Drosophila melanogaster: one gene and its partners. The protein of the gene in region 2 interacts with the protein of the main gene of each other region in a pairwise test. Each region holds a gene or a part of one and is shown on either strand. Other genes may lie near its edges. The genes, in order: CG14079, eEF1delta and robl.

Evidence for each region.
Region 1: the proteins of eEF1delta (region 2) and CG14079 interact in a two-hybrid assay, tested with the Drosophila melanogaster proteins (one large-scale study listed by BioGRID).
Region 3: the proteins of eEF1delta (region 2) and robl interact in a two-hybrid assay, tested with the Drosophila melanogaster proteins (one large-scale study listed by BioGRID).

Annotation. Positions count from the first base shown.
Region 1 is NT_037436.4:19,088,054-19,099,564, reverse strand, and holds CG14079 (uncharacterized protein), read right to left. Parts: upstream 1,567-11,511; 5' UTR 1,403-1,566; coding exon 1,355-1,402; intron 1,297-1,354; coding exon 535-1,296; 3' UTR 501-534; downstream 1-500. Other genes in the region: Gem2 (gemin 2), read left to right, coding at 1-84; Naxd (NAD(P)HX dehydratase), read left to right, coding at 1,933-2,259, 2,338-2,913; CNPYb (canopy b), read left to right, coding at 3,423-4,088; MESR6 (misexpression suppressor of ras 6), read right to left, coding at 5,001-5,902, 6,125-6,166, 6,245-6,755.
Region 2 is NT_033779.5:10,226,289-10,237,833, reverse strand, and holds eEF1delta (eukaryotic translation elongation factor 1 delta), read right to left. Parts: upstream 5,328-11,545; 5' UTR 5,262-5,327; coding exon 5,175-5,261; intron 4,354-5,174; coding exon 4,273-4,353; intron 4,078-4,272; coding exon 3,475-4,077; 3' UTR 3,384-3,474; downstream 1-3,383. Other genes in the region: mthl15 (methuselah-like 15), read left to right, coding at 1-907, 1,287-1,459, 1,548-1,803, 2,029-2,107, 2,171-2,349, 2,420-2,806, 2,884-3,047; ova (ovaries absent), read left to right, coding at 7,884-8,129, 8,223-8,420, 8,488-8,649, 8,708-9,973. UniProt on the Drosophila melanogaster protein: EF-1-beta and EF-1-delta stimulate the exchange of GDP bound to EF-1-alpha to GTP.
Region 3 is NT_033778.4:17,451,385-17,462,228, reverse strand, and holds robl (roadblock), read right to left. Parts: upstream 5,758-10,844; 5' UTR 5,659-5,757; coding exon 5,656-5,658; intron 5,593-5,655; coding exon 5,514-5,592; intron 5,446-5,513; coding exon 5,234-5,445; 3' UTR 5,100-5,233; downstream 1-5,099. Other genes in the region: robls54B (roadblock similar 54B), read left to right, coding at 6,068-6,091, 6,151-6,465; CG10764 (uncharacterized protein), read right to left, coding at 6,605-6,981, 7,040-7,176, 7,272-7,320, 7,397-8,002, 8,055-8,200, 8,288-8,333, 8,597-8,807.

The DNA of each region.
Region 1 (11,511 bases), on a different chromosome or scaffold from region 2:
GTGCAACGGGCAGCTCCCTACAACCTACTACTAACGCTCACCGTTCAGGTTTTCGCACAGAATGATTTCAAGGATTACATATAGGTATCATATTCCCAGTTTAGAAACCACTAATTTAAGCGCAAATTCGACTATTTTGTTAACTAAAAAGCCAAAAGCTACGCTGGTAATTTTGTTTATATAATTACTCTACGTTTAGATACTATTTTTATAGTTTTCTGTGGCTGAATTATATTCTTTTGGTTAGAAAACAGATTTATTTATGCATATCAATCAAGAGACAACATATTGTTAATGAACCTAAAAATTAGATCGTAAAACATAAAAGTTTAAATATAAAAGTAATGATAATATCTTAATTTGAATGAAGAAGTTACCCATTTAACCCATGTACACAAGTCAATTATTTCTGGAAAATGTACTGAAATGTGACCATTTATTGAAAATATCCATTGTTTTCCGGGTTGCAACATAAGTCTTTTAACACCAAAGGTTTTCTTAAAACATAAGACACAAATAATTTTGCTAATTTATTCAGTAAGAAGGAAACATGCGCCTGTAGGCCTGGCATATATCGCAGCTGTTGTGATGCTCATCCAAAGGAGAACTACAGCTGGACAAGTGGCTGCACTGCGTCAGCGAGGAACTCTGGCTAAGGCTACTTAATTGCGTTGTGCTGGAGCAGGAGGACAATCGCCGTTCCTGCTGTTTCTGTTGGGCAGGAGAGCCAGCTCTCCAAGCGGCGTAACTGCCACTTGGACAACAATTGGATTGCCTCCCATGACACACGGTTTGCTGCTTTCGAGGCTGATCCAAATGGCCCAGGCAACGGCTCTCAACGTGGCGATTGACAGGAGGAGCAGAGTACTCCCTGGAACTGGAGCAGCTGCACACCTTTTTCCGATCCTGCGTGGTCAACTGCGCAGATAGCTCCACCTTGGGCGCCAGGATACCCGGAAAAGCAGGCGTCGCCTTCATCAACAGCTGAACATTGGAGCTGTGGGCACAGCTCAGGCGCGGAAAAGTGGGTTGCATCACATCCGAAAGACTGCCCACGAAGTAGGCCAACCTTCGGCCATTCTGCCAGACGGTTATCTCCAGCTGTTCAGCTTTCAGTAGCTCGTGCATCTCCTCCAGGCAGCCCACGCTCTTGAAGTATCCCTCCATCGTGAACTGATCGTGGCACAGCATCGGAAAGCGAGGCTCCATGGGTCCAGTTCGAAAGTAGTAGCCCAAGGTCTTGATGGTGGCCTCCAAATATCCGTGTGAACAAAGCCAAACACCGGGACAAGTGAGCTGAAAATGGAAGGAGCCTTGATGTCACAGGTACACTTCAATCGACATAGCCACAAACCGCATGGAGCTGCAGATCTAACTTTACGTAGAATCTCTTGTGGGACATTTGCTGCCTGATCCTAAGTGAAAGTCTGCCGGAAAATAGCCAACTGCTTGGGGCGGGAATCGAGAATTGGGGGGCGAAAGCGCATGGTTCTTTGTTTTGGAGCCCACTGGTTGCCGGGGCAGCGGTTGAAAGTGAATTTCAAAGTCGATTACTGGTCGATAACGCAGGGAATTTTGATTGATAAGCAAAAGAGTTGAAAGTGATGTGTATAGAATGTATAGTGTAACTATACAATGTGAAGAGTACTTAAAGAATTGAATAGTTTTTGAATTAATTAAGAAATAATACAAAAATATGATAGTAAAATACTAAAAAAAATCTATTTTAGAATAATTAGCTAACTCACATTTTTCCATGTTTTCATTTTCTATAGCTTTAACTACTGATAATACGGCTTCCGTGGGAACAAAGTATTTCTCACAGTGATAGCAGCAACCGATAGGAAATCCCGACCACAATGTGCATCACTAGTCACAGCAATAGTAAACAGCGGGCACAGTCCACAAAGAAAACCATTGCCGCCGGTAGAGATGGCTGCAGTTTCGGATATTCCAGTGCACCTGCCCAAGCTGCTGGCTCTGTTCAAGACGGTGGTGCCCAAGCTGGTGAACAACAAGCACAAGGGACAGTACGGACGCATTGGAGTGATCGGTGGGTCCCTGGAGTACACCGGAGCGCCGTACTTCGCGGCCATTTCCTCGATAAGAGTGGGCGCTGACCTGGCGCATGTGTTCTGCCATTCAAATGCGTCGGCCATTATCAAGTCCTACAGTCCCGATCTTATCGTGCATCCAGTGCTAGACTGTGTGGATGCAGTGGAGAGAATAGCGCCCTGGTTAGAGCGACTTCACGTCGTTGTGAGTAGCCCCCCCCCCCCACCTACATACGTATATGCTACATTTATACAATTAAATGCTAAATTTAGAATCGTTAAGGTTATTGGACCTGGACTGGGTCGGGAGCCGGGCATCCTGAAGACGGCATCCAACGTACTCAAGCTGTGCATGGACACCAAGAAACCAGTTGTCATAGACGCCGATGGACTGTTTCTGCTCAACGACAATCTGAATCTGATCTGTGGACAGCCGAATGTCATACTCACGCCAAATGTCATGGAGTTCCAGAGACTGTTTGGCGAGGATGACCAGGCGGCGCGCCAGAAAATGTCCCTCCTGGGAGCCGGAGTAACTGTCCTGGAGAAGGGCGCCAACGACAAGATCTATCTCCCTCACTGCAACGAAGTTCACTCAATGCCTAGCGGCGGTTCCGGTCGCAGGTGCGGTGGACAAGGTGACCTGCTCTCCGGATCTTTGGCCACCTTCTTCTCGTGGTCACTGCAGTCGGGTGAACCCAATCCCGCCCTGGTAGCTGCATGTGCCTCTAGTTACTTTGTGAAAAAGTTAAACGCGGCTGCATTTCAAAAGTTTGGCCGCAGCCTACTGGCCAGTGACATGGTCAATCAAATACCCAGCGTATTTCAGACCGAGTTCGAAAACAGCGATCCTCAATAGTCATTTACTGGACTTTGAACTAATTCCAGCTGTTTGTTTTTTAAAACAAGGCGACCATTAACCGAATTTTCAATTATCGTGGGATTTTTAATGTCTTTAACAGAGAACATATTGGAATGGATAGAAATGTTATGGGAATTTTTTAATTGCATTTAAACAACGTAAGAACATCTGGTTCGTTAATTTGAAAGCTGCATCTTGTTACAGATAAAATGTTTCGGCATTCATAATAAAACCATATTGATTCAATTTTAATAAACCGTTTAAGCATGACTTCTGTTTTAATAAACAAATAAAATAAAATAAAAGTTTTTTTTAAATGTATGTAGGATAATAAATCATAAAAAAGAAAATAGATTTGATATAGATTATTTTAAAGGTATTGGCGGGAAAAAGCTAAGTCGTCGGTTCCGTTCGGTTGTTGGTGTTTTGCAGCACTGGTCTTCTCGCGAGCGGCATTTCCACGTCAGGTTTATTATTGTTTTTTTGGAATTTATCAAGCAGTGAAAATGCTCCTCAAAAGACTGCCTGGCTTTGTAACACTCTGGGTCGTCCTGCAGTTAGCCGGAGCTGATTCGCCCGAGGAGGAGCAAGGCGTTCGCTACGCAAACCGCTGCGAAGCCTGCAAAATCCTGGCCACCGAATTGGAAGCTCGACTTGGAGAGACCGGCAAGTCGCACGACGTCATCGAAATCGGATACTCCGTTGACGATGTGAAGCCCAAGAAGCGCACTGAATACCGGCGCAGCGAACTGCGACTGCTCGAGTCCCTGGAGAACGTGTGCGAGCGAGTGTTGGAGTACAATCTGCACAAGGAACGCTCTGACAGCACGAGATTCGCCAAAGGTATGTCCCAGACCTTCCAGACGCTCCATGGCCTTGTGGACAAGGGCGTCAAGGTGGATCTGGGAATACCCTACGAGCTGTGGGACAAGCCCCCGGTGGAGGTCACCCAAATGAAGACCCAGTGCGAAAACCTACTGGAGGAGTACGAGGAAACCATCAGCGAATGGTACTTTAAGCACCAGGATGAGAAGTCACTGAAGAAGCATCTCTGCGAGGACCATGTGCTCAAGAAAAAGGCCGAAAGGGAATGCCTCAAGGAGCAGCTTGCTCCTCCGGAGGCTAAAAAGGCCAAAAGGGAAAAAGCCAAGGGCGACAAGGAGGAGCTGTGAGCCAAATAATCCAAGTATATCCTAGGAATCCCTACCATATTGTAATTCCATGTCGAAAAATGTAGATGTAGTGCAGCTGTTGTCGATGCAATTTTTAAAAGTAACACAAATTTTAGTTTTTGAATGAACTCAAGCATTGACAAACTAAATGTAGTAGTTACTTAAATTCCAATGATCTTACTTTTTTTCGAAATGGAAATCATTTTAAGTTTTACCACCTATAGAACAAAGCGAAAAGTGTTTAATTAGCTTAAGTGAACTCACTATGTCTCTCAAGCTAATCTGTATAACTTCCACAACGACTGAGCCACAGAATGCTACTGAAAGTTTCGCCTGGGGCCATTGGCTTATTGATTTCGGCCACGAATTGGGGTCGACAATTAAAAGTTGACTGCCCTCAATGAGGTGGCCAGTCATAACCCCCAGCCAGAAATTCAGGTGTTCATGCCATGTCCATGTCAATAAATGAGATTTTGCGCATTTTCTAGGAACCTACGGCACTGAATGGAAGAGAGTTATCCTTAAATACATGTACATTTTATAACTAACATTTAGTATTTACGATTAAATATAGATTATCTGTGCATACACATTTTGATTTTACTGGGGCACCTAATATGTCGTTTAAAAGGTATCTCGTCGCGAAACCTTTCAAAGTTTAAAAACAAATTATTTTGAATATACCCAATTTGCATTAAATGAGTTTGTTTAATTGTCTGTAATAAATACTTCGCGTATATTTCAAAGTAAAAAATATTATTATAATTAGTATTGGATTTTCCATCATTAGGTTCTAATTCGAAATCACTACGGGTATCTTTTAGTCGTGGAGTTTTCCCGCCCAAACGAGTTTTGTAAATTCAGAATCTAATTCGCAGTGGCGGGCGAAAGAACCCCTAGTTATCCATAAGCTTAGAGCTTCATCACATCCCAAGGATCGTCCATATAGTGCAGGATGGCTTTGTCGTGCAGTCTTTCGCCAAAAACCTCCTTAAGCAGGCGTAGAACGCATTCCTCAATGAATGCCACCTGATCCTGGGGGCAGTAGTCATCTTGAGCGGAATGGGCCATTGTAATGGCCACTGGAGGAACTGGCAGGCGCTGTAAGAAACGCTTGAAGTTTGCAAAGTACGTTTCCAACTCTTCGGCGATGCTGATGTGGTGGGGCAAGCCATTATTATCGGTGGTGCTGCCCGAATCGAAGATCAAATGCCAGTCGATTTCATCGTCTGGATATTTCTCCTGCAGCTGATCGGCCAGTTTCACAATCTTGGCGTACACTTCGGGCGTGACCACGGTCTCGTCCGGCTTTTCCAGTCCCTCGAAATTGCGCTCCTCCTCCAGATGCCAGAAAATCGTCTTCAGTGCATCCAACTGAGTCTGTCGCCTCTCTGCCGTGGCCAAATAATCTGCTATAGTAGCCGTGCCCGACTTCTTCACCTTCTCCACGCTTTCGAAGTGGAAGATCTCCTTTAGCTGATTGTAGCAATCGGCATCCTTGTATATTTCCAAGAAGGGGTTGGAGGTGCTGAAAAAGTCGAGGTCTATGTCCAGCACGAATCCCTTGGCGTCCTTCTCCGTTAGGAATTCGTTCGGATTGAGGCTTTCGTTGTCTGCATCGTGAACCTGCAGCTCCACGCTCTTGGCATCCTGCAGATCCTCCGTAGTGCAGTAGTTGCCGTCGGCAATAAAGTAGTCCAACGGACAGTCCACTCCAATGCGATCGTCCTTTTGTCCAACCTTAAAGTCGTGCCTGCCAGTGGGCAGCTGCTGGCACCATGAGTTCTTCAGCCACACGACGCGGTTGAAATGTCCTAAGAGCAAGTAATATAGCAATAAGTTATTATTTTACACTAATTTCTATAAGAAAATGCAATTATAGCTAATTAATGTCATTAGACTCATCACAGTTAATAAGTTTTTGGTTTGAAATCCTTTAAATGTAGAAAGGAATCTTTTTGACAACAGTACTCAATGGATATTTAGCAGTTACTAAGAGATAATCTTTAAATATTAAGTTCTTAGTAAAATTAGACCATAGAACTTTTTTATTTGTCCTTTTACATTGTTTTCTATTTCTAGAAATAAAATAATAGCATTTAATATTATATTTCTATATAATATAGTTCTCTTCGATTCCCCATAGAAATCCTCACCTGCATAAAGTGTGGGCATGATCCAGTTCTCGATGCTAAGCTCATTTAACATGGTTTCCTTTTGGTAGGTGGAACTGGCGGCAATGTGCCGTGGAATGACCAGATCCGGATGCGAGTCGAAGTGGACAAGGGTGTTGTTCTGCAGCGGAAGGTGGCGGGTGGCAAAGCAGCGGTAGATGAACTCCAGCACATCGTTGTGGTAGTCGACGATAAAGACGGGGATGCGCTGGAAATGCCTTGGGCTGATGGTGCCGCCAATCTGGACGATGCCCTCGCCATCATCCTCCTCCTCATCAACGCTCTCCTCGCTATCCTCGTCTTCCTCCCGATTCTCCTCCTTTTCGTCTGCAGTCTTTTGTCTCTTTGTTGGCGGCGCCTCTTCTCCCCCACCCGCCGCAACCCACTCTCCCGAAGTCGGCTCCCATTTCTTCGAACTTTCGGGACTTTCACTTGGCGATAGTTTTTTTAGAGCAGCCGCGGCACTCTCCTGGTCCAGCGTATCCGATTCCATTTCCCTCGGGATTACTTTGACTGTACAACTGGGTCCTTAGCACACTGTTCAATTACTTGCACGGTAAGCAGACTTAATTTCTTTTGTATTTAATATTTTGGGGGTCTTTGACCATTAACAGCTGTTTGGCAGTGTGACCAGATTGCTGTCTAGCACAAGTTTCCCGTATTGCTAAAAATGGTAGCCCTATAATAAGGTCACATTACATAGGACCCAACTATCGATGTATCGATTAAAGTTGTGTCCGTTTAATTTAAAAGTTTTTTCTACACATTTTCCATATATTGTACCTTATTTTGTCAATTACTTGAGACGTTGAGTATTTTTTGATATAACTTAAAATAAATTTGATTTTTTAAAGCATTCGCTTTGAAATCTAGAATCTAGAATGTAGAATCTAGAAAATGTTAAAAATGTTAAAAATAACAAAATTTATTAAAAACTAAAAAAAAAAATATTTTAATATTATCAAAATAGTACACCTATTTCTATATTCATATCACTTTGATAGTGGTAAACGAAAATAAGAAGTAAGGAGAGAGTATCTCATAGTCGAGACACTAGGGAGTAACCTTCTTCTTGCGACTCTCGTGCAACCAAGGAAAGATTTGAATTTCAATTTGCAAGTTCTTGAAACAATTTTTCGAACAGCAGTGTTCATTAATTAAACAGCACTTTATAAGCTCAGCCAGCACACGAGCTCTTTGCCATCCGCAATCCAAATGTCTCACACTCCCCTCCAGCAACTCGCCCCCCCCCCCCACAAGACCCTTTTATCCTCAACCTTCGGCCCACCGGCCACCCACATTTCAAGGTTACTTCAGATTTGGAGACTTTGCCTCCAATCAATATTCCGTGTGTATCCGCAGCTTGGACGCTGGCATAATGCGATTGCCATCGAGCGAGTGATGGGGGGCGGGGGTCGGGGGGTGCTGAGCGGCCTCTGGAGCTTTTAGCCCCCAAAAAGCTGGCCCAGCGTTCCGCCCACGCTGCGCAGAAGCTTTTCATTCATAAGTTTTTATTATATCTGTACATATGTAGTAGGTATATATTTGTATATCTATGTGTATATATATACATTTGCATTTGCAGCGGAGGGAATCGGACGCCCACATGGCTGATTGGAATGCGTAAAACACTGCCGCTGTGTGTGTGTGTGTCTGTGTATCTGCGAGTTCGACTTTGTATCTGTATCTGAGCGCTAGTATCTGCGTTCGTCTTTTTCGCCCTTTGCAGCTGGTGGAAATGAATGGCGCGGCTCGGTTGTCTGGAAAAGCGCCGACAGCGCTGCTCGGGCGTTGGCGTGCAATGTTTCCGCCGTCGAGCGTTATCAAAAAATATAACTGTATATAGACTTTTGTGGGTGTCCCTGTACATACATAGGCGACACTCTTCTTTTATTACCGTTTACATTTTATTTTTGGCCAAGTTTTCGCGTGGGCCGAAACACCCTCGGTGGCGTCCATTACGCCGAGTACCACGTTGCCATGTAAAATCTTTACTACCACGATATCTTAATTAATCCGTTTAGGATTGAAGTCTGCTCTCGTTGAAGTTTTTCATTTCATTGCCGTACAACTACAACTGCATCACTAGAAACTAGTAATAAATAGTACTTAAAAATTCACACATTTTCTTATCAAATTGTTACCAGTATAAGTTGATTTGCTGACCAAAATATTATGCTCAATTATAGGTTTTAGAGCAGTAATCAAGGACGAAGATTCCATGAAAGATCTATATCTCCATGTTACTTATGTTGACCGCCTAATTATCGAGCTCGCTGGCACACTGAGAGAAATTGTTTTTGATTGGGGGGCTTTCCCCAGCCCTTATAACGCAACGGAAGTGCCAACTTCGAGAGCATCGGCCCCTTAACTCGATCAATTGGCTGCAATTTGGCTTCTCGTTTTTGTTCTTGTATCAATTACAGCAGCTCTGCGCTTTCTCTAGCTGTCGCACCCAATTCTCGCAATTAATTTGCCTTCAGCTTGACCCTGGAGGTCAAACACTGGCTCGCATTAACCTTCGTTGGCCCCTCCGACGAATCAATTGGGGAAGGATGGCACGGATGGGCGATGACAACCACGATGACGATGGCAAAAAAAGGAGGAGGGGGGTGGCAGGAATTTCTACTCTTGATTGCTCTACTTTAAAATGAAATCCTATAAAGTAAACATCAAAAAAAGATACAGATTGATTGAGATTCTAGATATTACTTTTAGATTGCCACTCAAAAATACAGTAATCAGATGAACATTGAGATATTTCAATATTAAAAAAAAATCTTTCTTCTCCACAACAACTTTTAAACAACGTTAAAGAATTTATAATCTTTAATCTTTCGCTTATAATCACAATTGAAGCACATAAGCTTTAAACTTTAATACAATCTTAGAAAGCTTTTATGCAATATTTTCATTCTTTTAGTGTTAACAATCTTAACCGTAAAGTAATTAATATTTAAAATATTTTTACTTACTTAGTACTTATTCATACTAAATCGTAGTTCTTTCCCACGTGATGTCTTCAAACACATGATCTTGACTAAGTGATGAACAATGTTATTTACAACTTTTGCAATCAGTAAGCCGGTAAAGAAAGTGCAGAAAATTCATTGAGCAGCCCCCGAATGACGTCAACAGGATTTTGAGTCTGGCGTAGGTGCCCCATTTCCCTGTAGCCCTGTGAATTTTATTTTATTTTATAACTTTCCCCTTTGGAAGGAACACGTGGCACCGGCTGCTGTTTAAGCCACCTTGAGTGAAGTGGCCAAAGTGAAATGAGTCAGTGGGCCCGACAAAACCAATCCCAAAAGTGAGTACAACCAACGTCATTCGCATTCTAATTCGGTGAATAGGTAAGTCGTTTGGTCAGGTCGCCGTTTGTTTCGTATCAATCGTAACTTTTGCTCGCGTGGGCGCTCAAAGCCAACAGATTCTTTCACATCTGCCGTCCCGACTCGTCATCCTTTCTTCTTTTTTAGCGTCCGGTGCAGATCTGATTTTTTAGACATTTTTTAGCACTGGAAACAGATACTTCCCAAGAGGATTCACATTCTACAATGACGAATTACTTATCTTCAGATGAGGAGGGATATCAGTTCGTATATGGGATGAATCTTGGATTTCTTGTCAATCTATGCATGCTATTTGATATATAATTATAATTATCAAATAGTATTGTAAAACGAAAAACTTTAATTGCATTGTTGCAGAAATGTTAACTTATATTTATATTTTGTCATAACTTGTTAAATTCGTGTTCATTTATTAATGTCTGTTTTAATCAAAGCTATTATTAAATGATAATTTAATTTTTTATCACCGTTTTTGGCTACCAATTTGAACCAACACTTGTCTGGAACGACGTCATCGGAGTGCCCAGAATCATGGAGATTGGGAACATATGTATATATTGAGATATTGAGAATCTGTGAGATACTTCAGCCTCTTCGCTCTGGTCAAACGTCAAACGCACATTGATCGACGATTGTTGATCGACCATTGTTGATTCTAGAGACCCGTGGCGCCCACCGACATCCGCTGTTCATATGGGCGAGTGATTCACAGAGATCTCGCGGAACGGAACTCTGGGGGCTGGACATGGATATATGGATGTGGGCTGGATTCGAGAACCCAATTGCGAGTGTGAATGCGAGTGTGAGTACACACATTTCAGAACGGGCGAAACGGAAACATGAATGGCAGATAAGCGGACGCGCCAATTCTTAATCCCATTCCAGTTGTTTTAGGTCAGTAAAGCAGAATGCAAAACTAGTGTGGGAGAATGCCGTTGAGCTAACTAACTGCATTTAAGAAATAATTATATTGCTTCAGCTAGTTAATAAACGTCCAAATTATTAGAAGGCAATATTCATCTCGTAGCAATAATTATCCTATACTCATATGAGTTTTGTAACTATGAAAAGGTTTCAGCACAGCGATAACTAATAACTTGCTGGGAAATATCTGTTAGAAAGTATACGCAGTTAATGGTCTTTCTTGATAACAATGAGTGGAAAAATAACACCAGATAATGAATAAAACCCTGCAAAGCTCATATAAGTAGTATCGCACATTGCGAATCACGATGATCCATATTTCCCCCATTTCTCAGAACTTTTCACTCATTCAAGCCGATATGGCTATGACTGATCTATACACGCACCATATAAAAACACTCGGGAAAGCGTCATCATCTTCATATTGATTATACGTGGGGTCTGATAATCAAGGTAAAGGCCGTAGCTTGCGCAATTTAGATTGACAATCGTGAGGTGCAGAAATTTAATTGAATTCTTCACTTTCGACATCAGTTTCCTGCTAAAACACAGATAATGCCCCAAAGTGATTCATTGAGCTATACAAGTGGGTTGGGTATTCCATTTTGGCTGCGAGCAGACTTTGAACTTGTGTCATCGAAGAATGGAGCCCGGAGGACGACCGACCTTGGCTTCTACACTGTCAGAAATACATATATGTATCGCCAAGGTCAGCCCACCAAAGACACTTGGAAGGCGCAATTGAGCAGCCTTTTGAAACAGCTATCCAGGTGCTTACTTCTAATTTCTTCATACTTGAGTGATACACTGACAGTAATTATGTACAACTTTCGATGAATACAAAAATTAATGGTAATATGTGTGTTTACACTTTTGTGTTTACTGAAGCGTAAATAAATAAATGCTTAAATGATTTCATATTATAACAAATATTTCTTAGTATTATATATAAATATATATATATATTTTTTG
Region 2 (11,545 bases):
CTAAGTTTAGTGTGCCTGATTTTAAGTGGCATTTCAAAAGTGCTCGCCGTTCAGTTATGCTGTGCCGCGAATTCGTTACTATTCAAATATCGCCGCACTGTGGACAATGCGGAAATATACCAGTGCGCTTCCGCCGCAAGCAACATCAGTGAACTTCCGGATCTTGCCCAAGTGATAGGCAAATTGATACCACCAATGGGCCTTGGATTAGAAAAGGCTATCAATGACTCAGGCCACAGCCAATTCGCACTATCAAAGTGCCAGAACTTTAGCAGTCTGAGTATAAGTGATTTAGGTGAACGCACCTTGAATTTGCGAAATAACTCATGCATTGGACTATTAAACAGACGTCTCATCGTTTTATCTTGTGAATTCGAAAAGAATGTGCCGTCTCAAAGTGTTGGATTTGTAAACAAGTGCTGCCCACAGGGATTTATTTACGTTTCCGAAAATAATACATGCAAACCGGGCGAAAGCGATTTCTTTGTTTATACTTCCATCATCAGCAGTCCAATTATATTTTTTGATAACACCCTAAACTGTTCCGACCACAGAGCACTCGTGGAATATACGTTGTCCTCCGGAAAAGTGCACTTTCATAATAATTCGTTGATTTGGAAAGATGGAACCAACAGTTTGCCCAGCTCCAAGTTTTGCATCGAAGCTATTCACGACTCCGACGATGCGGATTTGGATAGAGGTGCATTACCGGAACAGAAGTTTCTGGTGCGTGCTTGTCAGGAAATGAAAATTTGCCAAAAAATACCCTGTATTCGTCGTTGTTGTGCCGAAGGTGAAATGTATGCAAAAGGAAATTTCAGTACCTATTGCAAGATCGATGGAACCGATTTCAAATTTGAGGGTTTTCAGAACCTAAATATCAACGCAAACTTCTCAAAGCCCTCAGGTATGTCGTCACCAGTTTTGCAGTTATTTTTATAGGTCTTTATAGCAGGAAACGAGCGGCAATTGAACGCAGTAATCGCCCATTAAAGTCGTAAACTTAATGATCAAAAATATTATTAAGAATTGGAAGCAATCGATTTTGATGTTTTCCATTTGTCTGATCAAATAAGTGGTATAAACAATTGGTTTCAAGTGCCAAGCAAATTTCGCTATTGAAGTTATCTACGTCATTCATTAGTATTGACATTTTTCATTAGCTTTGTCATTTTAATTATTTTTGTCAAATTTTCTTATCTGGTTAATCAACAAGTGAATGACACATTTGCCTTTTCATTGACATAGGTCAGATTGTATAGTGTATTGTATTCAATACTTTTCAGATTTCGGTATTGTTCACGGCTTGCAGTGCCCAAAGTTTCGCTTGGATCCTGATAATTTTCCAGACGATTCGCATACGATAAATCCGTCCAATGGCTCGCTTATCATTCATAACACATTCAAAACCTATACGAATACTCAGTACTGCGTGGAACGGGTCAGACCCAATCAAAAGGTAAACTCCTTCCTATTTAAATCGACATATTTTATACAGTAGTGTCTTGTATAATCCTAATTATTTGCCTTCGTTCCTTTCAGAGCAGCTGTATACATTTTTGTGCTTTGATAATAAGGTGGTGACCGGCGACAGGATTCGCTTCAAGATGTATCCCATTGGCCTGCTCATATCCTGCTGCTTCTATGCACTCACACTGATTGTCTACATTTCAATTGCCAAATTGAGAAACCTGCCCGGCAAAATCCTAATTTGCCTCGTTAGCAGCTTGTTTGCGGCATATCTTGGAATCGCGCTGGGCCAATTGCGACCCACATCGAATGACGACATCTGTTTTCTTTCTGGTGGGTATTGCAGCCATTAGGTAATTAGTTGCTAATCCTGCTGGGACGAGGAGACCTACAAGTTATTATACCATAAAAGCGGGAAATCGATAGCAATCACTTTTATTATTACATTCATAGTTATACTCGTCAAGTACTTAATTGTTTAAGGGTATTTTGTCTCATTCTCTTGTGCAATTTGGTAACTAAAACCTAAACAAACTGTTTCTGTTTTGTATCTTGAAGGTTTTTTCGTGTACTTCTGTTTAATGGCTGCCTTTTCTTGGATGAACATTACTTCCTTTGACATATGGAAAACATTTGGGTAAGTACAAATGCTTTTGAAATTTAGATAAACTTGCAATAATTTACACTTATTTAATTGTAGATCAACAAAGCTTAAAAGCTGCGAAAAGAGCGACCTGAGAAGGCAGTTTATTTGGTATTCGTGTTATGGCTGGGGGCTACCAACATTGCTAACTGGAATAACCATAGCTTTTACGAAATCTGACATTTTACCGGATGCGGTGCGTCCAAATTTTGGACATGGTCGTTGCTGGTTTACGTGTAAGTTAAAAATCTAATTAAATTACGATTTAAATATTAAAGTATTTGTATATTTTTGTATTAATTCCAGATGATTCTTTTGGTTCAGCCAGCTTATTGTTCTTTTCGGGTCCAGTTGGCATACTTTTCATTATAAACTTAGTTCTATTCGTGCTCACAATGAAGTATTGCAACAAAGTAAAAAATGAAATATACAAAATGCAGAGCTTGAACAGCGACAAGCCAGTTTTGAAAAGGCGATTCTTTCAGGACAAAACCAGATTCGTTATGAACACGAAACTGTGTTTCGTAATGGGCATCACATGGCTGTTGGAAATAGTTAGCATTTTGTTTTATGATCACAAGAAAACGTTCTTTTGGACCATCAGCGATTCGTTTAATGTGCTACTTGGAATCTTTGTCTTCATTATATTTGTGTTTAAGCGCAGAATTTATAACGAAATTATGTTTAAGTTTGGTAAGTTTCAGTGGCATCAATTAACTGGCAGTTAGTTGAATATACTACATGTAATTTGTATTTATTTAATCTTTAAGGTCTGCAATCAAATCCGAGCACTGCATCGACTAGAACCCGCGCTGGCGTGACCAAATCCTATGCTCCAACCAGCACCGCGATGACCACTCTTCGACATTCTCCTGGCAGCTGTGAGTTTAAGCGCCAAACGTCGACGAGACCCGAAAACGAAGTTATGCTTTAGGATGGTTAAATAACTTATGATTAACTATTTATAATTTGTAGAGCCTTATGAAACTAGTCCCTCAGTTTAATCATTATTAATATGTGCATAATTTAGCTGTGACCTGGAATATTTATTTAATAGGTAATTTGCATTGTTTTTATACTCGTGCGTAAATGAATTTAATTAATCAAAGAATGGCGAATACATGACTTAAACTAATATATATCTTCTTTTCTTATAAATTTTGAAATAATATGGCCTTTTAGCGAATTCAAAACATATCGTTTGCATAAAAAATATCCTAAAGTAAACTATTTACCAATTACTCCCAGTTTAAATGCAGTTTTTTAAGTTGGTTTTTATCAAAATATTTATTTAGACGACTCCCAAACACATTTGTAATGCGGCAAATCCGATCGTGAATTGAAAAATTATATGTTACCCCTTAGATTTTGTTGAACGCAGCGATGTCAACACTTTGGACAAAGTCTTCCAGTTTCTCGATCTCCTCAGTCAGCCAATCGATGGAAACCTTATCATCCTCAACCACGCATGAAATGCTCAGTTTCTGAATGCCAAAGGCAACTGGCACGAATTTGGAAGCTCCCCACAGTAGACCGTCCTGGGTGATTTTGCGGATTTCCGTCTCCATAACCTTCAGATCGGTCTCATCGTCCCACGGCTTAACATCCAGAATGATGTTCGACTTGGCAATAATTTGAACTTTCTTGGCCTTCTTGGCAGCATAGGCTGCCAGCCTTTCCTCCCTTATGCGGGCGGCCTCTCCATCCTCCTCCTCGCTGTCCGATCCAAATAGATCCACATCGTCATCGTCGTCGTTCGCTTCTGGTTTTTTCGCTTCGACCTCGGGCTCTTTCGACACTCCATTCGTCAATTTCAGCTGAGTTTCCAAGCGCTTCACTGTGGCAGTCAAAAGTTCGTTCAACAAGGAAACCTGGGTCTTCAACTCCTTGTGTTCACCCTCCAATTGGGCCAGACGCTTGGCCAGCTCGGAATTTAAGCCATCGTCCAGAGTAACGCCATCGATCTGGAACACACACAAAAGGCTTGATTAATAATTCAAATTCAAGTCCTCATTGGGATATGTTGATCATAAGTACAGACTAAATATATTGTAAATAATAATTATACAATTCTCTACAAAGTTTTAAAGAAACCGAAAGAAACCTAGGAATGTGAACAAATCAAATGTTGAAATACAAAGATTTATCACAATAGTTACCTTTTCCAGCGAGTTCTGTATGTGTTCCCTAGCCTTTGCGATTTCGCTTACTAATGGGCTGTAGTGGCTGCGATCAGTTACCTTTAAAAATAAGACAACACCATTGATTACTTGTGTGAACTGACATTTGGTGTATCGAATGGTTGACAAAGGATTCTAGGGATAATAATTTTTAAGCAAAATGAGATGTTTTATGTACGGGCATCTACTTCAAGTCTGTTGTCATGCAAGCATGCTGAAATACTGATAAGCCTCACTCTAATCAGCCCAAAAATTGTACGTAGTTTAAATATTATACAATGCAGTGCTATGCATTTTGTGTAGTATATTTGTGTAGATAGAATACAACGTGTTTAAACCTTTACTTAACTATAGTATTTCCCTGAATTTCAATAGGTTTTAACTTTGTATACATCGATTTGTTTTTGGCACATTTCCATTGAATAAACGAATTTTGTTGTGTAGGTGTCATGTTAAGTACTTATGTTTTGCATACTATATTTTGTATTTATACCAATTGCCAAACGGAAAGTGTATTCAAAATTTGGCTTGCCAGAGTTAGTTTTCTCTCACACTCTGTTTTGTATACACTTTACGCACATAGTTATATTTTTTAAAAGTGTTAAACGTTCACCTGTTACATACAGCTACAAGAATATACCAATGTAATGTGCAATATGAACACAGCAATTGAAAATCAAAGGCAGATAAATATAGAAATCTTTTAATAGATCATTCTACGTATGTATTGAAGTTTAGAACATGTGTGTTTCGGCGTCCTTGCTGTTAAAACAAACAGATTTGCAATAAACATTGCCGAAACCATTTGAACTGATTTACCGGCCACGTGAAACTGGCTAACAACTTAAGTACTTATGGCTGTGATTGCTTAGAGATTTTACCTTCTGGGGACCCTCGTAGAATCGCTTCTCGGCAAGATCGTAGCGGCTCTTGTCAGCCCAGAATTTGTCCAATGCCTCTACTTTCATTTTTAGTCTTTCGCCCGCAGATTTACTCAAACACGTTGCACAATTGGCTGAACAATACGATAACACGTTTGAAAGGGAATGCAGGTATATCGATATCTACGCCATCGGATTCGTTTTTTATTGCTACTGAAACGATGGAAATGAAACACGACATTTTTATTTCAACCAAATTTTTAACACGTTCTCATTCTCATACGAACTGCTTTTTGATGTGCGAGTAAATAAACAAATTTATTGCAATTTTTACAAAACGTCCATAAATTGAAACACTTATTAGTGCCCGGAAAGAAATAAAAAAAAAGTTTGATCTCAACGTAGCAAAATGTAAGTTCCACGTGGCACCTCATCGATGTTTGACGAACTTTTGCACAGGCCTGCGGATCAACATGTGTGTATACTTGTCATCAGTTGATTTATTGCTTGTGATGGGTTGCAACGAAATGTTCACCACAATTGTCGTCGTTGCGTGAAGAGGTTTGATGAAAGAGGGATACAGAGGGATACTTTTTTTATATATTATCTTCCACTTAACTATTTAATGCTTCTTCTTCTCTTTAACAAAATTTTTATATCACGGACCTCGTCCTTGTGTGCTACTAAAAAGCTAGAAAAAGATACCATAATAAAAAAAATGTTTTAAAGTTTTTTAAAGGTATACAACTCTCCTTTACTTTGTATAAGAGATTAACAGATGTTTGCGTCAGCTGTGTTTGATGGAATCGAATTAATTCGATGTCGATTTTACACAAAAATTCCAGTACATGTATTTTATTTACAGTAAAAAACTTTTTTAAGAGCAAAGTAAAAGTGCAACATCACATTTTGTTCCATTTCCGCGTTTCAATTTGAAGACTGGGTAGTATTTGTCACAATTATTTCAGCCATTTAGCAGTCAGTTCTCACTTCGACTATTCGATAGCAACTACAACAAATGGTTTTTTTACGAAGAAAGTGTTGTGTACTGTAACTATGTTATCATATTTGTGATTGTAGATCTCGGTGTCTACCGTTTTGTTAATCATTGCGAATTCTTGGTGCGTACTGATGGTGATTCTATTTTGATCGGTTTTTGAGACTCCTTTCTAATGGATTCACTCAGTGATATGTATATGCAGAGAGCACTGAGCATTCCAGAGCACTGAGTTTAATGTATTGCCATACAAAATCGGTGTCGAAATGTTCGTTATCAACCAGTTTAACGTATAAGTGTGTACTATTCAAATTATATTTCAAATGATGCTGAACATAGTAATTTTCGTTGAGTGTATTACATACACTCGTCTAAATCAGGTGGGATATTTATACCACAGCATAATTGTGATGACTCCATTTAACATATGAATATTTGTGTTTATGTATAATTATCTAGAAGTGCTTGTGTGAGTGTGTTTACGTATAAAAATGTCCCAAGTTATGCAGTAAAAATTTTATTTGCAAACTTATTCCACTTCCCTTGGAATACATATGTGTGTTTTTCGTGTGTGTGTGCGTGTGTGTGCATGTACACATATGAGAGCAATTCGTGGTTTTTCAGTAAGGAAATCTGCAGTTAGACGCAAGGTTTATGAGCTGCCCCTTTTGCAAAAGTGAAACGCTGGTCGTGGCTCGCCACAAGAATATATAACTCGTATAAACTGCATAGTTAGCATTCGCGAAGCGATATCGCACAAACCTGTAAGTGGGAACATTCCACTTCATGTCAATTTCATGAAATCGCTAGGCGTAACCACTAGCTTTGGTTCTAAACCAAAGTGGCAACGCCTTTGGCAAAACAAGTATTTTATAAAAAAAAAAGTTTAATCATATTGCTGTACTTTATTGGTACAATGTGTATACGATATATAGTACCTAATAAAGGTACATTTCAAGGATTGTAATTTTGCAAAAAAAAATCATCGATACCTTTATCGATTGTCCCCACGGACTTGACAGTCTGTATCTTCGCCATTTTGTGGTTATCACTCGCCATTTTTTAATGTGACCGTTCATAAAATGGTCCTGCAAAAAAGTAATGTTTGCGGTCACTAAACTAGAGATTTCTAGAACAAAAAGGACGTAAACAGTTATGTATTCTAGACCTTGATCCCTAGGTGTCACAATGTACGTGGCAATTCAATTCCAGGGTAGCTTTAATAGTACCTGAGGGCTTTACGATTATACGAACAAATACGGACTTACAGTCAGTTATGGCTGTATCGACATGGCTAGTAATCCGGATCAAGGCTGTAAAGACTTGTTAGTTTCATATTTTTACGAGTAACTGGCCTTCATCAGGACGGACAGGCAGATGATCATTATATACTTTTCAAGGACTATAGAACAACTATTACACGGTACCTAATTGAGTTTACTCATCACCCTCAGTATTCTCTATTGATCTCGACGTTCATGAGGACGGACAGACATACGGACACAGCTAGATCCATATACTGCGCCCCTTACTTATCACAACTGCTAATAAATATTTGAAATCGTTTGTTTGGTTTGGTTTTAGGAAAGTTTAGTAGTTTTAAATTTTTAAGTAGATATGTTATACATATGTAATCGTTTTAATCGGTTATCTTGGAAAACTATCGATAACATGGCAATAAAATATAACATTTTAATTCACTTGCAGTGACAATGGATGAAAAAGATAAAGCTCAACACAACATGATATCCAACCTACCACTTTTGTTTGCGAACGGATATCCAACATCCCTAGAAAAAATTACGGAGTCCCAGTTAGAAAATTTTATTCCCTTCATGGTGCAATGCTCTTTAGGACACATAAACTTACCAAAGAAAATAGATTGCAGTGAACCAGAATGGTGGCCCGAAAGCGCTCCTTTCGAGATTCCGCTCAAAAAGCCGAAAGCATTTGTTGGGGTAAGCTTTTTTCCCTTACCTTTTGATTTCTATGGCTTATATTTAACATTCACCCCCATAAATGGCTAATATATACCTGTATCTATTTTACAGAATTGGATGGAAAAAATGAAAGAAATTGTGGTTATATGCTATCAATTTCACAAAAGCTTATTTCTATTAAGATTTTGTAATGATTTAGCTGCGTATGAACACGCGAGCTTAAGATTCATAAACAATTATAACTCAACAACTTCATTGTATGACAGGAGAAACAACAAACTGTTGGTTACATTTCGAAATGAAAACATGGTAAGCCAAGCCTACTTTGAATAATTGGGTTTTAAAATTAGTTAATTCTGAATTGGTTATTTTGCAGTCATATGATAGACAACAAAAGAACAGAAAGTGCTTGTTGCTGCAAAAGAACAACAGTTCCATTAGCGAAAACGTACAGCATATGATGGTTGAGCCACCACCTTTTGATATCTACCTATGTGACAACTGTGATGCCGAACTTTATTCTAAAGAAGCTATACTCGTAAGTTGATTGCCAAAGATTGTCAAAGTTAATAGTTAATAACTCTATTGCATAACAGGAACACGAAAACATTTGTTGCATGGAGGATGACGTTATACTTTGTGATTCCCCTGAGCCAGATAACAAAAGTGATGGGAAAAACGAAGATATCGAACAGCGCAACGCCTTTCTCTTAAACTTTAAACTGCAACCCAAATTCTCCGATAATAGTTTATCTAAAGAGAAACAGAAAACATATTCATTCAGCGAAGAAACATCAACGGAAACATCAAACAGAAAGAGGCGTTTACCATCGCGGAGAAATCGAACAGTTCATTCGTTTAGTAGGTGTTCGTTTATCCCAATATCATCACCTGCAGGACAGCAATTGTTAAAATCGACAAAACAAACAATATCAATGGATTATATTGCGGAAAGACAGGAACGCCTGGAACGCTTTTGTTACACTCCATTGATCAATAAATCAAATACCAAGCAAAAGTATTTTGAAAAAAAAACAAACACTACAGTGCATTGTACATTTAAAAAGTCACATGAACACAATTATCACATATATTCCTTTCCGCGGCGTCAATTTGTTAAACGCAGGGACACTACTGAGAACTTTTTGTTTTTGAACTCTCCGCTGATTAAACAATGCCGTCCAATATCAGTCAGATTGAAAAAAATATCCGAACACGTAATGGAAGAGCAAAATCACACTGCAAATACAAAACTCAATATAAGACTAACGCGCCACAATTCGCTCAACTCACACTGGAGAATTTCACCCACAAAGGAAGTTGTTGTTGATACAATTGACTTATGCTCCTCGGACGACGATGAGCAACAAGAGCCAGCAATAGGCTCGCCCAAAAGACTTGGCTCGGATGCACTGACTGTAATAAAACTTACACATAACAACAGAAATTTGTACAGTAGCCGCGTCGTCGAGCCAAGTAAATGTGCTCCAGAGCCAGAATCAGTAATAGTTGATAATTCGGTTAAGCCCCTACAGCAATCTTTATATATTTATTCAAACTATAAGGCTAATTCAGTAATTAGTCGCTGTACCGTAGACTCGATAGCCAATCATTCACTGGTTGGTTCCCTGAGTACATCGAATACTTTTGCTGATTCTGAGGGACACAGAAAGGAATACAATCAGGAAAACTGCAATTTTTCTAAGAACTTGGTCGCACTCACAGACTGGTACGCTCATTCGGCTAATTCGAAAAAAAGCACTACAAATCAGACTACTGAGAGTAGTACGTTTGATGCGATTTCCGCGGCTCCGCCTTTCAATGGCACTGGGCGTATAATTTCCATTGATTTAACTTCTTAGACATTTTAATCCATAGTTAAGTTAAGAAATTGTTATTTTACAAGAAAACCTAAACTAAGAATTACCATATATGAATAAATAATTTGTTTAAATACTTTTATATATAATGTCTAAATTCATTTTCTCTGCGTTTTAAAGAAAAGACATACTGTAGAGGAACCCTACTGTTTTGGGATCTCTATTACCACGTATAGATGGTAATCAGCATATTTTCCATCCGTTTTCTTCATAGTTCGAAGCGTTAATCGATGATCTGGTTGTTTGAAAGCATCGACATAAAGTACACGTAAATAGTACATGACCTTCAAAAGCTTATTTTTTTTGGTTATGAGTCACATCATAATTTTATTACGTCATTAAAGAAAGAGAGGGGACGTCAGGGTTAATACAAAGTAGCATTAATCCCATGATTGATACTTGAACCAGTCTTTTCGGTATGTACCTCAACCCAACGTGGGCTTGGCCCTTTGTAGAGTTAACCATCACCCCGCCTATTTTAGGCGATTCAGCTGTACGCGTCAGCTGCTTTTGGTTTGGCATATCTAGTTTTATATCGCATTTTCCATTCATTCCGATGGGATGAAGAATTTGATATAATTTAGACCATCCCAGATGTTTCTTTCCCACACTGTTCCACTCGATGCATTCTCACTGAAAACGTCTTTCAAAGAATACCACAGTAGTCCAATTTATGTAAGCCAAAACATATGAAAGACAACATTTTAAATGTTTATTTTATCATCATATGAAATTTCTCGGTCGCAAACGAAAATATAAATGTTTTCCACCGGAATAGAAAAATATCGGTGATCACAGCGATTATCCATATATAAAATGAATAAAATGGATGGATAAATGTCTTATAAATTTGGTATTCTTTTAACTTAAATACATAGGTAAATATAAAAATTTATTTTATTGCTTATCTTATTCAACCTCAATATAAATAGAAAAAAGCCAAGACATCATCACTGACTGCGATATTATACAGCCAAATAACTGAATTGACCGATTAAAATGTGGAAGTGTACACGGTGCACCCTGTATAATCGCGGATTGCTTGCTTTCATATCTATGAATTAGTTTGGTATGTAAAGTCGTATACAAGAAATGGTGTTTGAAACCAAAGCGATTTTACTGTTCCTCATGGTGTTGTCAAAGAAATTTTCGCTTTTAAATAATTAATTGATGAGTGTGTAAGTGAATATTGTGTTTATTGTTTACAAAAACCCCGTTTAGTCGAGTGATTAAGTGAAACAAATACCAGCATATATATGTACACAAAATTTCGCTCAAATGTGCCACTGACAGCAAATCAGTATTTCTGTACATAAACGTCAAGTTTGCCAGTTTGAAGTTTTAGTTCGCCGTAATGAACAGTGCAAATTACAAACATTAAATATTGATTAATCTATCGGCGTAAGACCGCAGTTTGATACACACATATATGTACGTACATTGCAAGCGTTCGCTGCGAGTGTGTGTATGTATGTATGGTCATTTGGGTGTTTTACTTATGTACATATGTACGTACGTGCGTATATAATCAATTTGTATGTAATGACAGCTGTG
Region 3 (10,844 bases), on a different chromosome or scaffold from region 2:
GTTGCTGGGCAGGAGTGTTTGTTTGTTTGTGTGTGTGTGTGTGTGTGTGTGTGTGTGTGTGTGCGATGCGAGTGGAGCACTTCCAGTATGTTATCCTCTTTTGTTGAAGTGGTTTTTCTTGTCGCTGGTGGTGCTCTGGTGCAGTTGCTCCGCTGGCGTGCAAATGTTTCCTTGTTTCTTTATTCTTTCGCTGCTTTGGCTCTTAGGTATTCCGCAGTTGTCGACGTCGATTTACCTGGAATAAAATAAAAAGCAGGTATGTGAAAAAGAGTCTTGTTTCACACTTTGCATTGTATGCATGTAAGTATGTAGATATGTGACTGTGTTTGTGCCAGTTGTATATATCTTTCAAGCGATATATACAATGCACTCATGTATTCAATATTTTCTTCGCCTGGTGAAATCAACAACCAGCACACACACAGTATATTTTGGAACAGATGTTCGTTGAGCTCGGATTTCAGGTCCCTTTTTCTTTTACCCCTAACCGCCTTTAGTACAAACTAAAAAAAAAAAAAGAAACCAAAATGGGAGCACACACACATGTGCAGTTTTGTTTTCGGCATTTTTTGGAAATCTTCTGCTTCTGCTTCAGCTTCAGAATTTGCAATTTTCGGTTTTTGCCAGCAGGTCTTTTCCGGTACCTATATAGAACATTCTTTTGTGTGCTCCTTTTCGAGCGAAAACAAGTGGTTGAAGGGTCAAAAGTGCAGCGGCTGAAAAGGAGAAGCGAGATAAAGATGCCGAAAACAGAGAGCAGGTGTTGCAAATCCTGCAGAGAGAATTGTTTAGCGATTGGCAATCCAAAAATAGGTTTCCCACTGGTATTGGTGTTAGTTATTTTGCTGTGTACCCTCGCAGAGTATACTAGATTTTACATCATTAATGAAGGAAATTCGGAATCCTTTCTTCTCTCTTCATACTCACGAGTATCAAGAGTCTTGATGTAAATGTTACAATTTTTTTTTTTAGGTATTTTAACATATTTAGAAAAGACAACAGTGTCAGGGTATTAAGAATTCGGTTCGACGCTATTTATGTTTTGGTTTTGTTCGAACCAGCAGAGCGATAAGGCTGCGACTTCACATCCCATACTATATTATTAGCTTTATGGTATAACTTGGGGTACTTGTATGTATTTGCCGTGTTATCATCTGACTCTGGCTATGACGATTCCTATGCCGACACGCGCACGCAGCACATGCCCCATTCATAATCCCCGCACACTCCCGGCACTGTCCAGAAATCCCACCATGTAACACACCTATATCTAATCGCGCATATAAATTTCACTCCCAGGGAATAGATTTTTCCCTACTCCGAGCAAACAGCGACTTTAATACGCATGTTTTCCACTGTTTCCCTTCGCCTGTAGTCTGTAATGAAATTAAAACTAAATTCTGTTCGCCACGGGGATGAAAATCGAGTTTTCGATTCGCCTAAGGGAAGAAAGCTGCTGCCTGCATACATATACATATATCTATATCTGTTGTGTCTGTGTGTGTGTGTGTGTGTCTGTATGTGTGCGGGGTGGCTGTGTCAACCGAAGGACTACTGTGTACTTTTGTGTAGCTGCTGCAGCAAACTCGGTCGCTTTCCGATCGAAACTGCTGCAGCTGTGTGCCTCGAAACTGCTGACTGCTGACTAGCTGGGGCAAAAGTTTCACCGGGGCCTGGTCAGCGGGTCGAAAGTTCAACGGGAGGAGACCTTCGACGCGCTGCTGTCAGAACGAACAGCTTTTGCCAAGATGCTGGGGGATGGCCTACCAATAAGCAGCCAATATGGCAGGAATCCGCCCAAGAAATGGTTGCTTAACTTAGCCTTTAAAATCGATCCTACAGTACTGCATTGTCACACCCAAAACGCGAATTCTTCAGTAAGAAACAGCTGATGAGAAAATGGGCAGCTGATTTCAAGAACTTGCCTGCAGTACATTTATCTGCATAGGAAGAAGTGAAAACGTGCCAAAGTGTTCAGTTTATAGACGAGAATTACAATCGAGACCGTCAATAAATAAGCTTGACGATTTTTTCACCTATCAACATTATTTTAATCTTTACATAGTATATATTACAACCGTATGTGTGCGTCAAACGTAGCAGCCATTTGAAACTTAAGACCAAACCAATCAGATTGTTTGATCAACTGTTTTGCCAAGTTTTCTAATTATCATTATGTGGATACGACTTTCTACGATTTGCGTAGAACAGCTGCAGGCTTTGATCGTTTGCACAGCATTTTCCACTCATTTTCCAAGCTGATTGCGCACTCGGCATTCTTTTGCGCAATTAGAGGGAAGTTGTGAGTTTAAAAGCTGTAGAGATAGATAATAAGCGCCGGGCTGATTGATAGTTCTGTGCTGCTGCTGCTCTGCGAATTCCCAACGCACATGATAAGATACGGCACATTGTTCATACAACAACGAATGGTTCGAGAACCTTTGTTTAGTGTTGTGTGAACTTTGGCCTTGTGTTCGGCCAAAAAATCCGAAGAAAAAAAAAAAATCCGAAGAAAAAAAAAATGGGAAACAAAACGAAAAAAAAACTGGTTGTACTTGGTGGGGAAACTATAGATTCAAGCTCGAAACGATGCTGGTCGCCAGTGTTTCAAAGCCCTTGGAATGCTGGCAGGCCTAAAAGTATCTGTTTTTTTTTTTTTTGTACAATCTAATCATACGCCCTTGATAAGTCTCTGAACTCGGTACGAGATCTTTTAAGTCGGCTGACTAATGAAATTTTAAGGAATTGAGTCATGTTCAGGCAACTGTTTATATGCACTCAGAGAAAATCACATCAAATTAATGATTATATCAATTGGGAGTGGATAACACGAAACGTGGTAAAATACAAAATCGACAGTTGAAAATCTTCGAAACAATAAAAATTCTGTTCCTAACTTGGATTGAACCTGTTGGAAATTACAGGGCCTCCAAAGCGGGAAAACATTGAAAAGCCTAGCCCTTTATATAGTTATCTACTTTGTTCTACAGGGTTTATATCGGAATTTTATGCACAATGACAGTATTAATATGAAAAAACAAGCACAGCAAAGTTCAACAACTTCTACCAATATAAGATTTTCAATAGCTTTGCTTTGACATATTTTTTATAAAGAGCGTAGTATGCAATAAGAATGTATAGTATTCAACCGTATATAGCACTTAATCATAAAACTAATAGTAATAAGCAATATTTTTCTTCAGTGCACTGGTTCATGTTTGGGACGCAGTTTCGCTGTTAAGGTGATTCACTCGGTATATTTTCCGTAATTCGTAATGATTTTCACTTGGCACTTTTGAGTCCTGTTCGACGAGGTCGTTTTCGTGGGTGATCACTGTGTTTATGAACGCAAGTGCGGAGCCATGCGTTGCGGGGGGCTACGACCGTCTCCCTTACACCCGTTTGATGACTGCAGTCGCCCGTTTCCCGTTACGTTGCATTCAAGGAGTCACGCACGCACACACACACACACACACACATTCATAAACGCACGCGAAAAGAGAGCGAACGAGAGATGCATGTGGGAGAGGATGCAGATGATGCAGGGGAATAGACGGGCATATGGACATGTGTAAAATATCCAAAAATATAAAACGAACCCAGCGACCGACGACCGAAACGTCCGACGTAATAAAATCCCTTACGCGCTGCAGGCAGCGACGCTGACAGCGCAGCCACATGCTTCTTTCTATATTGAGCCAGCCAGCCCTTATGTGTTCAACTCTCCGTTATGTACAACAACAACCAGTCCCATATATAAACACACGTACGTACATACAGACCCTGCTCTGTGTCCGCACGTCTGTTTGTTTGTACGGTACGTGCGTGCGTGTCTGTGTGCGCGTCGTGTTTTTGTGATGCCATCGTCGATATTGAAAGTACATGTGTACATACATAAGTACGTATGTATGTACGGCAGGCTATGTACCAACGTACGTTGAACGAGAATCGCGTTGGAAATGAAATGAAATTGCGAACAACGAAACGGTGCGATGACGATCCGATACGAAGTGCTTCATTTTATTTAGTTAATTCTTAGCACATATGTATAGACAGATATATATGCACCGACGACTATATACACTCGACTTTGCCCGTGTGTGTGTGTGTATCGTTTTCATTTTCACGGAACAAATATGGCTGCAGCACATTTTTTTTACGTTTTTTATTCACTTTTTTCACGTTCATATAGCTCGTTTTTTCACCCAAAGTAATGCTGACTGGCCGATTGAGGGTTCGTGGATTTGGATTCCGTTTGCGTTGCGTTTGCTGGCTGCCTTTTGGGTTTCGAAGTGCGTGATTACGCCATTTTCTTTACTCGTTCGCTTTTCGCTGCACGCCCATCTTTCGAATTACCTTTTTTCAATACGATTTGATCGATCGGTGGATCTCTTAACTCGCTGCACACGCGTACACTGGGTCGAAACGGTGGCTGATTGGGCTCTCCAATCAATTTATTGACTATTCCGTTGAGGGGTTTTCTTTAAATGCAAGTACGCAAAACTCACGGGTTTTCACCGACACACGAATCCGTCTTCCTCGACTTTGCATCAGTGTGACCGTGGCGTGCAACGACGATGGCCAAACATCGATAGTCTGGGACTTTGCTACTATCGAAGTTATTTTATACATATTCGATACCTTCTGTCCCTGCATATGGTTTTTAAAGGATATAATTACCACACCGTTGTAATTATTGTAATCTTTCCAATTATGTACAAGCCGTGGTAGTCTTTAATTGCCAACATAACATAAATGTTCACCTAATAGCAACGGAAACAATTTCAAAGGTAACAAGAGAATACATATCTCTCGCTTCGAAAGTATTCGATAAATACGTCGGTGAAGCGGATGCTTAAACCAACTACCCAAACATCAAACAACTTCAATAATTATAATAATATTATAATAATTAATTGTTCGTGTTAGAATTAGCGTTAAAATAAATTTATCTTTTGGAGTCATTTGTTTCAATTAGAGAACGCATATTTCAGTTTTTGAAAATAAAGAATGAATGCCCCTATCAATAGTTATAGCGGACTAACAGCTGAAAACACCTGAAGTTTACAGAGCCCAAAATGTTTACGTGATGTCATTTTATGCATAAATATATTTATTGTATGGAGTACAATTTCATTACATTATAATTTAACTTTCCATTTATACGCTGATGATTAGAATACAGATATAAATGTGCAGATAATTCAGCAATAGTCGCGATGCACCATGCCATTTAGTCGGTTGGGTTTTGGATGACAATCAGGATGAAGTCCTTGTCGGGTGCCACCATGATCTCGTGCTTCTTGGATCGCACCCGCAGGAATGTCATGTCGTTGGAAGGATCCAAGTCCCTCACCACACTTCGTGCCTTGTCCGCCAGCTGACTCATTAGGCCAGCGTACTGAACGGTGGTAGTGTTGTCCAGCGTGGATTTGACCGGAATACCTATTTGGGAGGCGTTGAGAATTAGTTAGATATCTTAGCACACACTGGGGTGCAGTTGAACCACCCACCTTCATTGTTGACCACAATTGTACCCACAACACCTTTGTGGCTCTGGATTCTCTTGAGTGTTTCCTCAACCTCCTGCGACTGTAAGCCATGAAGGTAACGTTATTTTCTTAATGTTTTTGTGTATGCACAACTCTTACTTACCATTTTTTCTTATAATTTTGTTGGAAACACGGCAGACACTACCGCTACCTGCAGTTCAATGAAATAGTAAACTTTGTTTGTTCAATATTAGAGATGCACTGTCAGTGATGGCACATTGTTCATTGTTAATTTAACAGATTTCCACATAAGTTAACAGAAAATATCGATATGAAGTTTTCAATGAGAAAAAAATTTGCAACGGTAATTATCAAAATATTTGTGATTGAATAATTTAATAAGTTTATTATTTACTAACAATACATTAATAACAACTACACAGAATTGTTTAATCTGGCATATTGACCCATATAGCAACACGCACCTTGGAAACCAAGAAAACAAAAAAAATTAGGTTAAAAATTCACGAAACCGTTACTACGAAGTTCAAGGTGTTTCAAAGCAGACGAGAAATATGTTTCCGGATCTTCCACAAAAGGTAAAATATTTCCATATTGAATGTAATTATATTTATTTATAGGTTACATCATTAAATAGCCACCTCGAACTCTACGATATGTGGAAAAAGCATTCGACCTGGTCAAATCGAAAAAACATGTTCGAGATGTAGTGATCCTCAACGAGTCGGGACATCCGGTGATGAGTACGATGGACCGAGAGGATGCTGTCCAATTTTCGGGACCTTTTCAGGCTATTCGAGGAAGACTGGAACGCGGTATGAGTAAAATAGATCCCACGGACGAACTACTAATGCTGAGAATACGCACAAGAACCAACGAGGTGCTCCTGGTGCCAGACTCCAAGATAACACTACTCGTAGTACAGAACGCGCATGATTACTTCGAAAAATGATTAAATATTTTAGATTTCTCAAAGACAATTTCTTATTCGTTAGCGTATGTTACTTTATTATTAAAACATGTACCAATCACTCGTATGTCAGTAATTGGTATTTACACGTGCTTTTACATTTTTAAGGCATTTAAATATTTTAAGATGACGTATTTAACGAATATAGCAAGGAAAGAATCCAATCCGTGTGCCTCATAACATTCGTAAAAACGAGTATGTTTTTCGATGAAAAACTGAAAATGCCCACCAAAATGTAGCGTATCTGGCCATTGGCATTCATCCCTCCAACCACTATGTAGCTACGTTTCTGGCGGGGATTACTTGTGTCGGATGGATCTACCATGCACACTTGATTTTCGTTGATTTGAAATCCGAGATGTTTCGCGCATTGGCTCCCTTCCATTAGCCTGACGTCGAATTGTTCAGCTAAATCTGTATCAATTATTTTCAATTCTCGAGCCTTTTCGGCGTTTTGCTGGTATATTTGCGTTGTCAAAATGCAGATGGGTTTCATTGCTGTAAAAGAATATAACTGTAAATCGAGGCAATTGCTATGATAGTAGGTATGTTCTACCTGTGCTGCTTATTGATCGAACAAGTTTGAGTACTGCTATGTCATTTCGGTAATCATTCGTAGTAAAATTTGGGTGCTTTGAAACCGATTCAATTTGGTTGATTGCGCTTATTCCTTCGAGCACTACGAACACGTATCTGAATAATTAATTTAAAATGGTATCAAAATAAACTAGTAACTAATGTGAAAAATAGCAGTTAATGCACAAGGGATAATCCTTCGAACAACTTACAAATAGGCGGCAACTGTGGGCAGGTCTGTGGCAGCAGCGATGATCAATTCTAAGAAAAGAAACTCAATCTTGTTAAATTTATACTCATTTAATTGTGGAATTCTCGAGTGAAAGAGTATACTTACGATCTGTTATTAATACGCCAACGGCATAAGAACCAGGCCAATAAATTCTTAGCTGCGCGATCGGTGCCGCGATATCCTGACTGCAGCTATTGTACAACATCGAAGGAAGTGGTGGTGAAGCCGCAGGAGTCCAGTGCCGATTAGCGTCAGGAGCAATGGGATTGCCCATGGCAATGTCTCCCCCGGACACGCCGATTGGTAGGTAGTCATTTCTAGCTATTGTCGATGAGATCCAATCCACATAGCTGGTCACGTCGGTATAGACTCCTACTCCACGGCATTCTGGATCCCCAAAGCTTACGATTCCTAACTGCACCTCATAACTTTTATTGGAAGGAAACAATATATTCGTGGACAAGGGACCCCCAGAATCGCCTCTACAGGTGTCTCCATTTTTGGTTCCAGCGCAAATCTGTCTTGAATTGAGATTAAAGTTCAATTTGCGTTTGCACTCATTTCTTTTCAAGTGTAGAAGATAGATGGTTTGCAACATTATGCTCAATTTTCCGTTCCTATTTCCCCAGCCAAGGGCTCTGAACGTTTTCAATTTTTCAACACTCCCTTTGAGAGCCGGATCCAAAAAGATGCAAATTGGTTGAACTCGAACTGCGAAGAAATGCATTGAAATGGGGCTACGGTGGTTAAATTGCATACATACCTGTGTAGACGATACTCTCCGACAGTTGAAGCAGTCCTATATCATTTCGGTATTCCGATGCAATGAAGTCATGGTGCACAAAGACATTAATGACTGTGTGGACAGCAGCGGGCTCATTTATGTTGCGTGCCCCCAACCTCACGTATCTGTATTTCATAAATCCACATATTTATATATTCGTTTTTAAATTAACCGCGTAAGCACGAATTATTGTAACTTCGAACTTCACTTACAGATCATATCCTCTTACCAAGCAATGAGCAGCACTTAACACAAAACCTAGAAAAAAAATATATATTCATTAATATATAGAGAAGGCAAGAACAGTAATCGCGACTACTGTATACCCATTACACAGCTAGGAAACAGAGACAGAAATGCAGATATGCAACATTTAGTCAATGACATTTAAATACCTTAATTCCTACAAATTTCAACGCAACATGATTAGCTAATGACATATGTATGTGTATTATAGGGTAGAAAAATTGTGCATATACTTGTGACTGGTATGGTATACATAAGTTAAAAAAGACACTAACGCATATGTATAATTGTGCCACCGCATTGAAAATCGGATGAATTGAATATCGCTGCCATCCATATAGAATTTGGCTCGGCTGCATCGTCACCACCGCTAATTTTGGGACGGGTTGATATCCCACAAGGAGTCTCTAAAAACTTAAAGTGTTCATTTTCTGTAACACACAAAGTTAACAAAGATAACAAAGCAACCGAGACCAACGACCGCATTTCTCCCTAGGCAATGTACGACTAAATCCATAACATTTCAGAAAGCTTCTTATCAGCTCAAAACGCCTGAATATTAAAAGATCTTTTGAATTTTCTTTTTTATATGATTTTGCACAACTTTTTGGGTTTTCCCTTTTAGTTTAAATTAAAATAACTATTGATAAGAAAAAAAATCAAAGAATGTTTTTTTTTTTTTGGTTTGTGGGCGTTTTAGGATTTGCATTATTGTGCGTTCCTAGAATGTGCATGTTTAATCTCGCACATGGGAATCTCGGATGAAGAATGTACATACATATGTACATACAATGTGTGCTTTATAAGGTCGGAAACATTTTCCTCTATGTGATACGTTCTTTTCGAAGAATCTGGCGTACCCTTTGACCCACGAGTAACTAGTATGTTAATGCCTTTCAATCAGAGAATTAATATTAAAGATTAGAAATGTAACATTGATATTCACTTAGATATGTTCATAGGTAAAGAAAATTGTACATATAAAGACATAAGATATAAGATGTAATAGTTCCTAACAAAACTTTAGTGCTAATCACGCAGACGTATGATATGACTTATTTTGTTTGAAAACCGTTTGTCACTTAACAAAAAACAATATTGGAACTGAGTTCCAAACTGAGTTTAGTTATAGAACTATCAATAAGTTCAGAAACACCTTTTAAAAATAAAAATATTACCTTTTATTTAAAAAAAATAAACTGGTGTGGTGAAACAATTGGAACTAGTATCTTGTCAATTAAATGGCAACTCTATCGTTCGAAGAACTTTATGGAACACACGGACGCAATCTGAATTTGTGAAAATGGAAGACTAGTCTCTTTTTCGACGTGGAACGGATCAGTCGGTAAAAAAGATAACGCGGCTGCGAATATACACACTTGTATATTTTATTTTAAACTTTAAGGTTTATTGGTATTTAAATTTGTCGCGGCAAATCAGTTGCTTGTGTTAAAGGTTACTCTTCTTCAATGTTTTAAACAATAATAATAAGTTTCCAGTGAAAAATATTTAAATAACAAATTCTGTGAATTTAAGAGAGCGTTAAATGTTGCTCTCTTCTAACACATTTAAGAATTCGCACATGTGTGTGTGTCCAGTCACTTCATGGATACATTTGCACAAGGCTGTATTGGGCATTAATGAAACATTTTTAAAGGCAAAAATGTGCATACATATGTATGTGTTTGTATGTTAAACAAACGTACGGATGAATTTTGGCAGTGAAAAATAAAAATGAGAATCTACATACACATACAAACATGTGGGTATGTATAATAGAAAGAAGGTAGAAAGCAGCTTTCACAAGCCGAAGCCAAAATACCCTTGCACTCAATGTATTTAAAAAACTAGAGAAAATGCTATAGTTGTGGAATTCTATTGTCGTAGGCGTGGCAAAAGGTTTTTTGGTAAATCGATAGAAATGTACAAGAGAATGTAATTAATATGAAAAGGTAACAAAAAATTTTGCAAAAGTGTGGGCATGGCAGTTTTGGTCGGTTTGTTGGCGTAAGGGCATTATCGGTATTTTCCTATTTTCAGCTATATGATGCAGTCGCCTAATTTTGATCAAACTATAACTAAAATTGTATATTGTCAGAAACAACGAGCATGAATTTATAGTCAATTTATCTTTTTATTATTTCTTATCTAAAGTTATATGCATATAGAATAAAAACAGATACGAGCTTCCTTAGAAGCGGACGGAAATAATGTCTCGAGATCTGGACCTTCATTAAGACAGACGAACATTAGGACAAGGCCAGGTCTACTCAGCTAGGGATCCTGATCAATGTATATGTATTTACTTTAAAGGGGCGTAAACTTGTATTTTACATGTTACATACTTTCAAGCGAATCTAGTAAACCCTTTTAATTTACAAGTAACGAATATAAAAAGTTGAATGGTAGCGGGAGAAAATTAATTGTATAATATAATATTATCTTTGTTAATCCAGAGTCTTGGCAACTTGTGCACACAATTTTTTTTTTTTTTTTGGAAACTGAATCAGTTAATTGTGCCAA